Linked DNA regions of Drosophila melanogaster. The protein of the gene in region 1 purifies or fractionates together with the protein of each later gene. This does not show direct contact. Each region holds a gene or a part of one and is shown in the gene's direction. Other genes may lie near its edges.

What was found.
Region 2: the proteins of tyf (region 1) and Lsm12a purify together in Drosophila melanogaster (affinity purification with western blotting; one study listed by BioGRID). This does not show direct contact.

The regions. Positions count from the first base shown.
Region 1 is NC_004354.4:4,115,329-4,120,564, forward strand, and holds the start of tyf (twenty-four), read left to right. Parts: upstream 1-2,221; 5' UTR 2,222-2,567; intron 2,568-2,635; 5' UTR 2,636-2,951; intron 2,952-3,027; 5' UTR 3,028-3,089; coding exon 3,090-3,689; intron 3,690-4,385; exon of another isoform or gene 4,386-4,967; coding exon 4,968-5,096; exon of another isoform or gene 5,097-5,112; intron 5,113-5,173; coding exon 5,174-5,236. Other genes in the region: Tip60 (Tat interactive protein 60kDa), read right to left, coding at 1-1,216, 1,271-1,397, 1,465-1,524.
Region 2 is NC_004354.4:12,016,557-12,021,320, forward strand, and holds Lsm12a (LSM12 homolog a), read left to right. Parts: upstream 1-2,083; 5' UTR 2,084-2,624; coding exon 2,625-2,769; intron 2,770-3,071; coding exon 3,072-3,202; intron 3,203-3,268; coding exon 3,269-3,385; intron 3,386-3,450; coding exon 3,451-3,582; intron 3,583-3,978; coding exon 3,979-4,107; 3' UTR 4,108-4,163; downstream 4,164-4,764. Other genes in the region: regucalcin, read left to right, coding at 1-165, 223-415; Chrac-16 (chromatin accessibility complex 16kD protein), read right to left, coding at 895-1,317; Tango4 (transport and golgi organization 4), read left to right, coding at 4,604-4,722. UniProt on the Drosophila melanogaster protein: Component of the Atx2-tyf activator complex which functions in the circadian pacemaker neurons to activate the TYF-dependent translation of per and maintain 24 hour periodicity in circadian behaviors.

The DNA.
Region 1 (5,236 bases):
ATAGTGGGCTTTTCGCCGTCCGTGCTCGGGTTTTGGCTGATAAAGATCTCCAGTATGGTTTGCGCCCAGTACGATCGATAGGACAGCAAACCCAGATCAGACAATGGTTTCTCCGGCGATCCCGTCTTGCCCTCGAACTTGGACAACTCGTAGCTGAACTCAATGAGCAGCTTGCCGTAGCCCTTGCGCTGATACGGAGGCATTGTGAGAATGCAGGCCACGTTGTAGTCCTCTGTGCTCTCCTTCTCCTTGGAGAAGTACCCTACTATGTGGAAGCCGCGCGAGTCGAACTCTGTCATTACGTAGAAGAGAAACGGATCGGTATCATAGTAGAGTGTCTTGTGGTCGAGAAAGAGTTTGGCAAGCAGGCACAAGTTCTGGGCATACACCTTGTTTTTGCGTCCATCGATTTCAAAGAAGGAAATTGTATGTTTGCGATAGATCTCGTTTCCCGGTGGATGCCTAAGATTGCACTTGGACAGGTGCCTCTCCAGGCACTTCCTGCTCTTCCTGTACTTCAGGCAGAACTCGCAGATGTAGATGCAGGGCATTTGACACAGCTCTTGCGGATAGGGTGAGAAATACCAGGGCTTAATGCGATGCCTGCCCAGCTCGATCATCTCCACGTTCTTCATGCGGGTGACCACGTCGTCCTGGTGCGTAACCATGCTGCCTGATTGCCTCGGCGTGGGCGTCTTGCCATCCTGCGATCCATCACCATCATCATTGGCCGCTCCGCTTATTAAACCGTCGCCGGTCACATGCACGGGCGTAGCCGTGGGTGTCTGCGGAGTTGTAGGATGCGGATGTGACTGCTGCTGTTGACTGGTCAGACTGTGGTGTCCATGGGCCGAGCCTCCGTGGTTTTTTCGCTTGCGATTGATGCGTTTCTGAAGGGCTGCGGCCAGATTGTTGCCATTCACAAGCTCTCCCCCACTGCTTGGTGTTCCGGGTGGAGCCACAGAGTTTGGAATGCCAGCAGGGGGAGGAACACTGCCTGATGCACCAGTAGGAGTCTGGGGGATGGCTGCCAGAGCCCCGGAACCAGGGTGTTGCGGTGATGTAGGCCGAGAAACGCTGCCCGCTAGGGAATGGTGGCGCTGTGGCGTGGTCACTCCAGTGCTGGTGCCTGTTTGTGAGCCGTCTCTCCGCGGAAATTGCACCTTTCGCGTGTACAGATCCTCCTCGTTGACCCACTCGTCCAAGCGCTTGTTGACTGCGGATTGGCAGTTATACTAAATATGCTCCCACTGGACGACTTGGTACTCACAGTCCACATAGTGCACGTAAAACTGCCGGCGCCCATCCAACTCCTTGATGCTCACAATCTCCGCTAGTGGCCAGTCGTCCGTTTTGTGCATCCTGACGGGTAAACGACATCCCTCGGTTAGGGCGGCCTGCAAGTTTGCGGTTAAAACCATTAGAATGAACACCCAAAACACGCCAAGGCGTAGCGGAACCCACCGTTGACTCGCATATGGAGGCCACATCGTCGTCGAACTCATATTTGTGGTTAATTTTCATTTGTTTATATTTTACGCGTTTTTTTTTTCCTAAAACAGCAGTATTGCCAGATAGCGAAACGTAAATAACTATCGACCAATCGATTACCGCCACAGTGAATCAGCGGTTTAAAAATGTTGATGACATGGGCAGTGCTGCGCAGCGTCGCGTCGCCTTTTCAAAGTGCTGCACAACACAACAACAATTCCAGAGAGTTTTTCAATTCGGGTTCGGTATTTTTTCTCATGTGCCTACTGTGCAATTAAACAATTTCGCCCGCTTACAAACAACTGTAACATATTAAGCACAACCGTTCGACTCAATTGCAGTTGCTAGAACTTGAGTGCGCAGTTATGTGCTCCCTTCTTTTCAGTTGCCAAACCAAAAAATAAAAACGCTGAGAAGGTCAGAGAAATGTACACAGGCGTAAATTTGTGTGCGTGTGTGTGGGTGCGTACATTCGTGTGCGCTCGTGTGAGTGCGCAGAAAGTTATACAGCTGTCATCGACTGGCGTATTTATCAATAAATGACTACTGTGATCCGCGGAAAACTTCAGTTACTGGGTAATTGTGACCACAACTGCTGGGCAACTGTGCCGCAGTGCCCCAATGCTGACGAGCTGAGCGGGAAATTGGTGAAAAAGCTGTGTCAAAATGACGTGTTTTGCGATAGTGTTGCCACTGACAACAGCCGCAGGGCTGCCAACTCGATGGGCATATCCCACTAATTAGTTGCAAAACGGGCAGGCAATCTCGTGTTGATTAGTAAGATGCAAGCCTAGAGCAAACGCCGATTTAGCAATCTCAACGGCTTGCCCCTACAAACAACAAACAGCATTTGTCAACCCTGGCACGCAGCGTAGTTAGCAACACTGCTTTTTAGCCAAAAAAAAAAAAAAATAAAAAAAATGAATATGGAAAGAGACCAGTGCTTTTTAAAGAAATTCGAAGTCAGTGGGCCGCAAGGGGTCGCCAAAGACTAAACAGACGCACCTGCTACCACCCACCGCCCCTTGTCGCTCGTCCGCATGACCAGAACAACAACAAATGCTGCAAAACACCCAGTCAGTGGTCCAATGTCTCAGTTTCAGTTTTAGTCTCAACTTCATCCCCATTTCCCAATCAATTGCAGATCCGTGCGCACACATTTCCGTATTCCGGTCTGTTTGCGAGCAATCCGCATCCCCGTGCCCAGGAACCTACGTAAATGCCGCGAGCAAAGGTTTGAGCCGGAGGAGAGCTACTGACGACAGGCCTGTCAAGTGCAGCAGGAGTCCAAACTGATGCGCAATAGGTGGGCTCCCCTGTGCCTCAAACCGTCTGGAAGTCGAGAGGAATCGTTAGGAATCGGCGGAACAGCCTGCAGAGCACTTGCAGTCGCGGTGGCAACCACACGGCGGCTGGGCAGCTGGGCTACCTAGAAACATCGCGAAGAGAAGAAACAGTTTGTAAGCAGTTAATGGGAATGCGAGATATACCCGTTTACTAAAACAAACATTCCCCTCTTCTCACACGCCCTAACAGATTCGAGGAATTCGAATGGCATTTGTTTTTCTCCTTCGTTGCATGCCACCAAACGAAAGAAGATGAACAATGAACAAACGCCGTCATCATCGGACACACCGGCGGATCGTGTGGCATCTGGTGGAGCAGCTGCCAAACTGCCAACGATCATACCGGACACGCCCATCGTCTCGATTGCCGCTGGCACGATGAGCGAGAGCACCACGACGACCACCGTCACCAAAACAACGCCGACGCCGTTCCCACAGGAGCAGCTTATGACCATGATGTCAGACCATGTGGCGAAGGCAGACGCGCAGCTTGACGAGGCCTGTAGGAACCAGGGGGCCAAAGACGAGGACAGCCAAGGAGCGGCACCAGTGGCTGCCAACCATGTAGCCACCAGCGGCAGTAGCAGCAGAGGCAATGACCCCAAGAAGTCATCATCCCCTAGTAATAGCCATAGCTCTGGTAACCACGCAGCCACGGCAGACGCTGCCAAAGGATCCGCAGCAGAAGCAGCAGCAGGAGATACGTCCTTCTCGCAGGTCTTTGCCATGCTAAAGGATTCGCCCAGCGCTGAACTGTCGCGACCAAACCGCAGGGTACTCCAGTACGGAGCCACTGCCAAGGGCAAGACCCAGGACGATCAGAATGTCGGCAAGCGACAGAAGAAGAAAAAGGTAAGTGCGCTCTGGCTGAGTTGCATCTTAAGGTGGAAATATAGTGCATGTTAAGCAGAAACCGAGTTAAGATATTGTTTTATTAAGAAAAAGGTATAGTTATGTTTGTTACTCGCAAAATTTCACATTTGTGTACGTTCTGGAGGCTCCAAAGCTCTATGGTGTTTGGACTCCATATCTTATGCATGGCCAGGCTTGAATAGAGCTCTACCAGGGCGACTAAGTTGAGAAACAACTAAGTAAACGTAAAATTTGAAACTAATTTCGATTTTGGGTGGAATTCCAGTATTGGACAGCAAGTTGTCCGATCTTTACGTTACCACCAAAACCAAGGTATACATAAATTAGATATAAATATTGTTTATTTGCACACTAAGCTATAAACTAAAATAGATTCTTACGCTTGCGGTCCATTAAAGTTGTCGAAAATGAAAATGCCGAAATCCCCTTAAAACATGACCTTTGGAAAAAACTTTAAGTGAGCCGATTACTCACTCACAAACACTGTTTTATCGAAAACCGAATTTTATTAAAAAAAAAATAAATATTGACAGTCAAATTGCATCCCCCTAATGAATACATACTCACATACATACATATATGTATGCGAATAGAAGCCAAAGTACCGTTTACGAAGTTAATGGCAAAGAATTCGAAAATGATGTAGAAATAGACCAAGCATACTGTTATCTCGTTCTGACTGACTGGGATTGTGGCTTTCGAAATAGTGCCGTTACATTTGGTCCCATCAAGTAATCGCCACACAGGAACTTCAATTTCTGATCGCAGTCGGTTTTTTGACCAGCGCCTTCGATAATTATTGAAATCAAGACCCCGAATCGGGCAGAAGGAACGGATAAAACCGCAAAGCGTTTGTTTATCTTATAAAAGCATTGGTGACATCCGCGGCATTAACCACGAAAACTTCTCGCCTATTCCCGTTATTATTTCAGTTATTGTTTTTTTTTTTTTTTTCTGTTTTCTTGTGTTCGTGTGCAACACCATATAGTACACATGTGTGTGCGTATGTAGAGCGTTTACTTACTGGAACCGTGTGCCATTTAATACTTCTATTGCTCTGCGGTCGGTACTTCATCAGTTCGCATAAGGAACTCAGAAGGGCATGTGTTTGGAATAAGTGGAGCTCCGAATTCTTTTGTTTTTTTTTTTTTAGGTTAAGTCGCAGCGATTATTGTTTTACACGCATATGTGTTCGTGTTGATGACCCGAAAAATTGCAAAACTAATTGCCAAATATTGTTCTTCGACGCTTTTGCAGACAAAATACGATACCTGGGAAGATAGCGATTTTAATGATCTGGACGACGCATCATTGAAGAAACTTCTCGAAGAGGCCTACTGGTATCGAAATCCTGGCGACAGGAAGAACAAGAGCGAGCGATTTCTGGTAAGTTTTGGCTCATGTATGTGCAACATATATATGTGTGTATAAATATTTCTGCTTCACGTCTTTTACGCCTGCAGCAAATGCTCAAAAAGGCTGAGTACGACGAAGAGATCTCTTATCGTGCCATCAAATCCTGCCTC
Region 2 (4,764 bases), 7.9 Mb from region 1:
CTATGATTTCGAGACCGGCGTGGCTAGCAATCCCAAGGTTATATTCAATCTGCGCAAGAATAGTCCCAAGGATCATCTGCTGCCCGATGGCCTGACCATCGATACCGAGGGCAACCTGTATGTGGCCACCTTCAATGGCGCCACCATCTACAAGGTTAATCCCAAGTGAGTAGTTCACTCTAACATTCGTGATCGAGTGTTAAATGTCGTACTTCATTGCAGCACTGGCAAGATTCTGCTTGAGATCAAGTTCCCAACCAAACAGATTACCTCCGCCGCCTTCGGTGGCCCCAACTTGGACATCCTGTACGTGACCACTGCCGCCAAGTTCGATCAGCCCGCTCCAGCTGGCACCACCTACAAGGTGACCGGACTGAACGCCACCGGCTATCCCGGCGTCAACCTGAAGGTCTAGGAGCTGCAATCTCTATCTATCCTTAGCCGCAGTAAAATGTACCAATCGAATCCAAGTGCAATTATATGTTATGCTCTTTAACGTTTTAAATCGCGTCTATCAATGTTTTGCATGCTAGTTAGGTTATCCTTTTTTGCAGTTCTAGTTCAAGGTCAGCTTAAGGATCACATTCTCTCCTGGGAATATCCAGGATCATCATGTAAACTCACAAAGAGGTTGACTATGCTCTACTTTACTCTGATTTCAAACAACAATCTTATCAGCCGCAGACACACGGTAATCATCCGCGGATCTTATGGTCATTTGGAGGACGCAGTGCTCTTATGCTTCTTTATTAATCAGTGGTTCTATAAACAATTTTATACTTATCGTCTAGTCTAAAATTAAAGATAGCAAGGTGGCGTAAAAAATCAGTCGATGTTTTGGTGAATGGAGATCATCCACTCAATTTCGGTGTAGATAAACATCTGCATGACCGTCTATTCATCAGACTCCGATTCCGATTCGGACTCTTCTTCATCGTCATCATCGTCGTCGTCATCGTCGTCGTCGCTGCCGGCGGAGCGATTTAGCCGCAGCATCTCCTGGAACTGGTGTACACGGATCTTTTGCGGCACGATCTGCAGCAGAAACTCCAGATTCTTGTTCTTATTGACCACCTGGGAGAGATGCTCGTACTTGAGCGCTTCGCCCGGTCGCTGGCCGAATTCCTCCGTGTATGCCGCGCCCGCCAAATGGCGAACGAATAGCTCCGTGCACTTGGTCATCAGGAAGAGCACCTCGTTGGTGATCAAGCCCGTGTCCATGGAGCTCTTCATGATCGTTCGCACGCGGCTGAGGGGCAGAAAGGTTTCCGCGGTCGGTGGACGCTCCACGGGTGGTTGGCTCCTTGGTTCGCCCATTTGTTTACTTAATTCCCAAGCAAACTATGGCTTGGGAATTTTTTTGGTTTTAGAGCTGGGCTCACAAGTGGAGCTGTGAAACTATCGATGTTACAATCGAGGCATGAAATTCGTACCTTTCTGAGACACTATCGATTCTTTTTTTTTATTTGCTATCGATGGTTATGGTTTATGAAGACTTAAAATAAGTAACCGCAGGGCTTCCCTTAAAACGAACAATGCTGGCATACTTCTATTTTTGCAAGGAATTGGATGTGCACAATAATATATGTGTTACTTTCTCAGAATTAAGTTATAGCGCTAAATATATAAAAATTGAGAAACCCATTCGGATTTGCCTATACTTTCAGCTCTAGCTGGAGCGGGAATTTAACCAAATAACGTTGCGCCGATATGCTATCGGTAGCCACAACAAGTATTTAATAAAAGTTTTCCAAATATTTCAATTTATTAGTGGAAAAACCGCTCTAAGCAAATACCTTTAACTTAATCAAGAGATTAGGGGTAAAACGATTAGGATCTGCACGATTTATAAGGAAACATTCAATTGCAACAACATTTAGACAAGTCAATATTATCTACTTTTGTCTTTTCAGTATGCAATCAACTTTGGATTTTCACACTTATAGCTTAAAAATCTGTCTTCATTTTCGAACTCACATATAAATAAATATCAATAAATTATTATTGCACTTGATTTGTTTGCAGCAACGTTGCCAGACTTCCGTAATCGATGACTATCGAACCTATCGCTGCGCGGCATGTGCAACACTGCGTTTTCTGCTGCCCCCTTTTGGCTGTTGTTTCGTGTGTTGACCAATAAATTTTTCGCGTACTTTTCCAACTTTTCAATTACCGAACCGCAATTGCCGCCAAAATAGATAGCCGATAGCTAGTCGAGCGAGTAACCAGCGAGTTTTTGGCCAATTCACGCGACGATCAGGGGCAGTGGAAGCAGGAGCAGGATCTCGACCAGATCGCCAGGAAGCGACATTTCCATTAGAGCGGTTCAAGTGAAAGCGAGTGAGCTGCACGGCACGAGAGAACGAGACAGACAGACGGCGAGAGTGAGAGCGAGCGAGAGAGCTAGTTAAATCCTTTCGAGAATTCCAGGAATTCAAGCATCCAAAACAGCTGCTGCTGCCGCAAAATCATCAACATCATCACCATCGCTGTTTGTGAAACGTTGTTCAAGCAACGGCGTGCCAACAAACCAGTATCGACATTTAGATCTAGATTCGAATCCCCTATCCACATAGCTTGTGGGTGCACTTTTCCAGTTGGCCAATCTCAACCAGCAATTAAAAATGGCCGCTGCCGCTGCGAGCGCAGTGAATGCAGTGAACGACTGCTTCAGCATCGGATCCACAGTCGTCTGTACGACCTGTTTCAACGAGGAGGTGGAGGGCGAGGTGCTGGCCTTCGATCACAACACAAAGATGCTTATCCTGAGTATCCTTTTGCAACGAAATCCCCGAAATGCATACCCACACACACACACAACTTGCCCGCCGGGTGAAAGCGAGCACTTTCTCCGGCTGTCCACAGGGATCTCTTGAGCTGTCTGGACAAAAAGTCACACTGTCCTTTAGATTCGTATATAATTCTAATTCACACTCATCTTAACTGATAGCATTCACATATCACCTATCTCTTATCAAACCCATTGTTTACTGCTTGACAATTTGGTTCTCCGTACATCGTATATCTTTGCCCCCCGTTCCTGCTCTTCTCTTCCCTTTCCAACCGCATAGAATGCCGATCCAAGTCCACGGAGGAGCTGAGTGATATCTACGCGATGAACCTCTCGCTCTGCAGCAACGTGCAGGTGATCAAGGAGTGCAACGGCAACTTTGATGATCCGCAAAAGCTTAATCTGGAACAGGTAAGCATGCCAGCTCTGACCACTTACATAAATATATATATATATATATATATATTGCTTATACAGGTCAAAATGCGTCTGAGGAAAACAGTTGAGCGAAGACAGGACTACTTGAAGTCTAAGAATGCTGATGTCAGTCCAGAGGCGCAGGAACTCTATAGAGCGATAGCCAAACAATACGGGGTAATGACCTCTTGCACGATGCCCTATCATCATTAACCATTGCTATTTCTTTTACTATTTTGTAGTACAATGAAGTCTCCTGGCAAGGACTTAACATACAGATCCTAAATGAAGTCACCATCTCGCCGCCGTACCGAGTGGACAACGTGGTGTCCAGCTCGAACAACGAAACTTCATGCAACTACATCAAGCGCATCGTAAGCAATTGCCCAACCGCAGCACCTTCAAGCAAACTGTCATAAATCCGAAATGAAGTTCGTTAAATCTTTAATCAGACTAGCAAACCATTGTAACTTAAACCCAACGCAATGGCTCAAACAACGATTTAGTTGAATTAATGTTCAGAACATTCTAGATTCGCTAATGTTTATAGGTTATTCATATGTCAAGATAGTCCTAAATATTTCAAGTACTTCCCAATGTGGTTTAGGGTTTGATTAGAAACAGTATTAAGCATTTTATCATTCTGATATAAACATACAAATGCGCAAAGTTGCGGTAAAAAAAAATAATGCTTTATGACAGAATTGTGGCTGGTGTGGTCGGTGTTTTTAAGTTCATAGGTTAATCTTTACTCCATCTTTTATCTGCAGATCAAACAGTTCTTCAACACGAGGCCATCGCCCGTCCCGGAAAGCGGAGCTGCGGCCAGCACCTCGTCACCATCGGTGTCTCCCACGTCCTCATCTCTTGCATCTGGATCGCCGGTTCCCGCAAACTAATAATAAGCAGAAAAAAAACACAAACAAAACAAAACAAAAAAACAGAAATGTGCTTCAAAAAAGAACAACGTATTGGTTTTTTAATCTCTCGGGTGGGCGCATAAAGTTAACACTTTGATGGGTATTCGAAAAACGATTCTGAAAAAACTATCAGTTTTTGTGGCTTTTATGGTACTTTGAATTCAGGACCCACAATTTCTCATCTCGACTTAAGGTTGTGAAAAGTTAAATCATTTTTTTCTAATTATTAGATAATTCAATTACACAATTTCAATTAGATATTAGATATTTGCATTTAAATACATTTAAAATTTTAATAAAACTTCTTTTAAAAATGGATGCCCATGTAGCATTAACATTTGGCTATAAACAAGCTAGCAGACATCACTGTCCGATAACCGATAGCCCGATTGTTATGTATGGCTTGTGGTGGTCAGCTGCAAGAGCCGCGCCGCGTTTTTAACAAATTTAGCGAATAAGCAATAAATAACAGACAATGGCCATGGAAGACGTGCAGAAGCACAGCGTGCACACGCTGATATTCCGCTCCCTGAAGCGCACCCACGATCTGTTCGTCTCCAACCAGGGAAATCTGCCCGAAATCGACGAACGTTTGTGAGTATACCTGTAGTTTGCAACTTACGCATTGTTAATTTG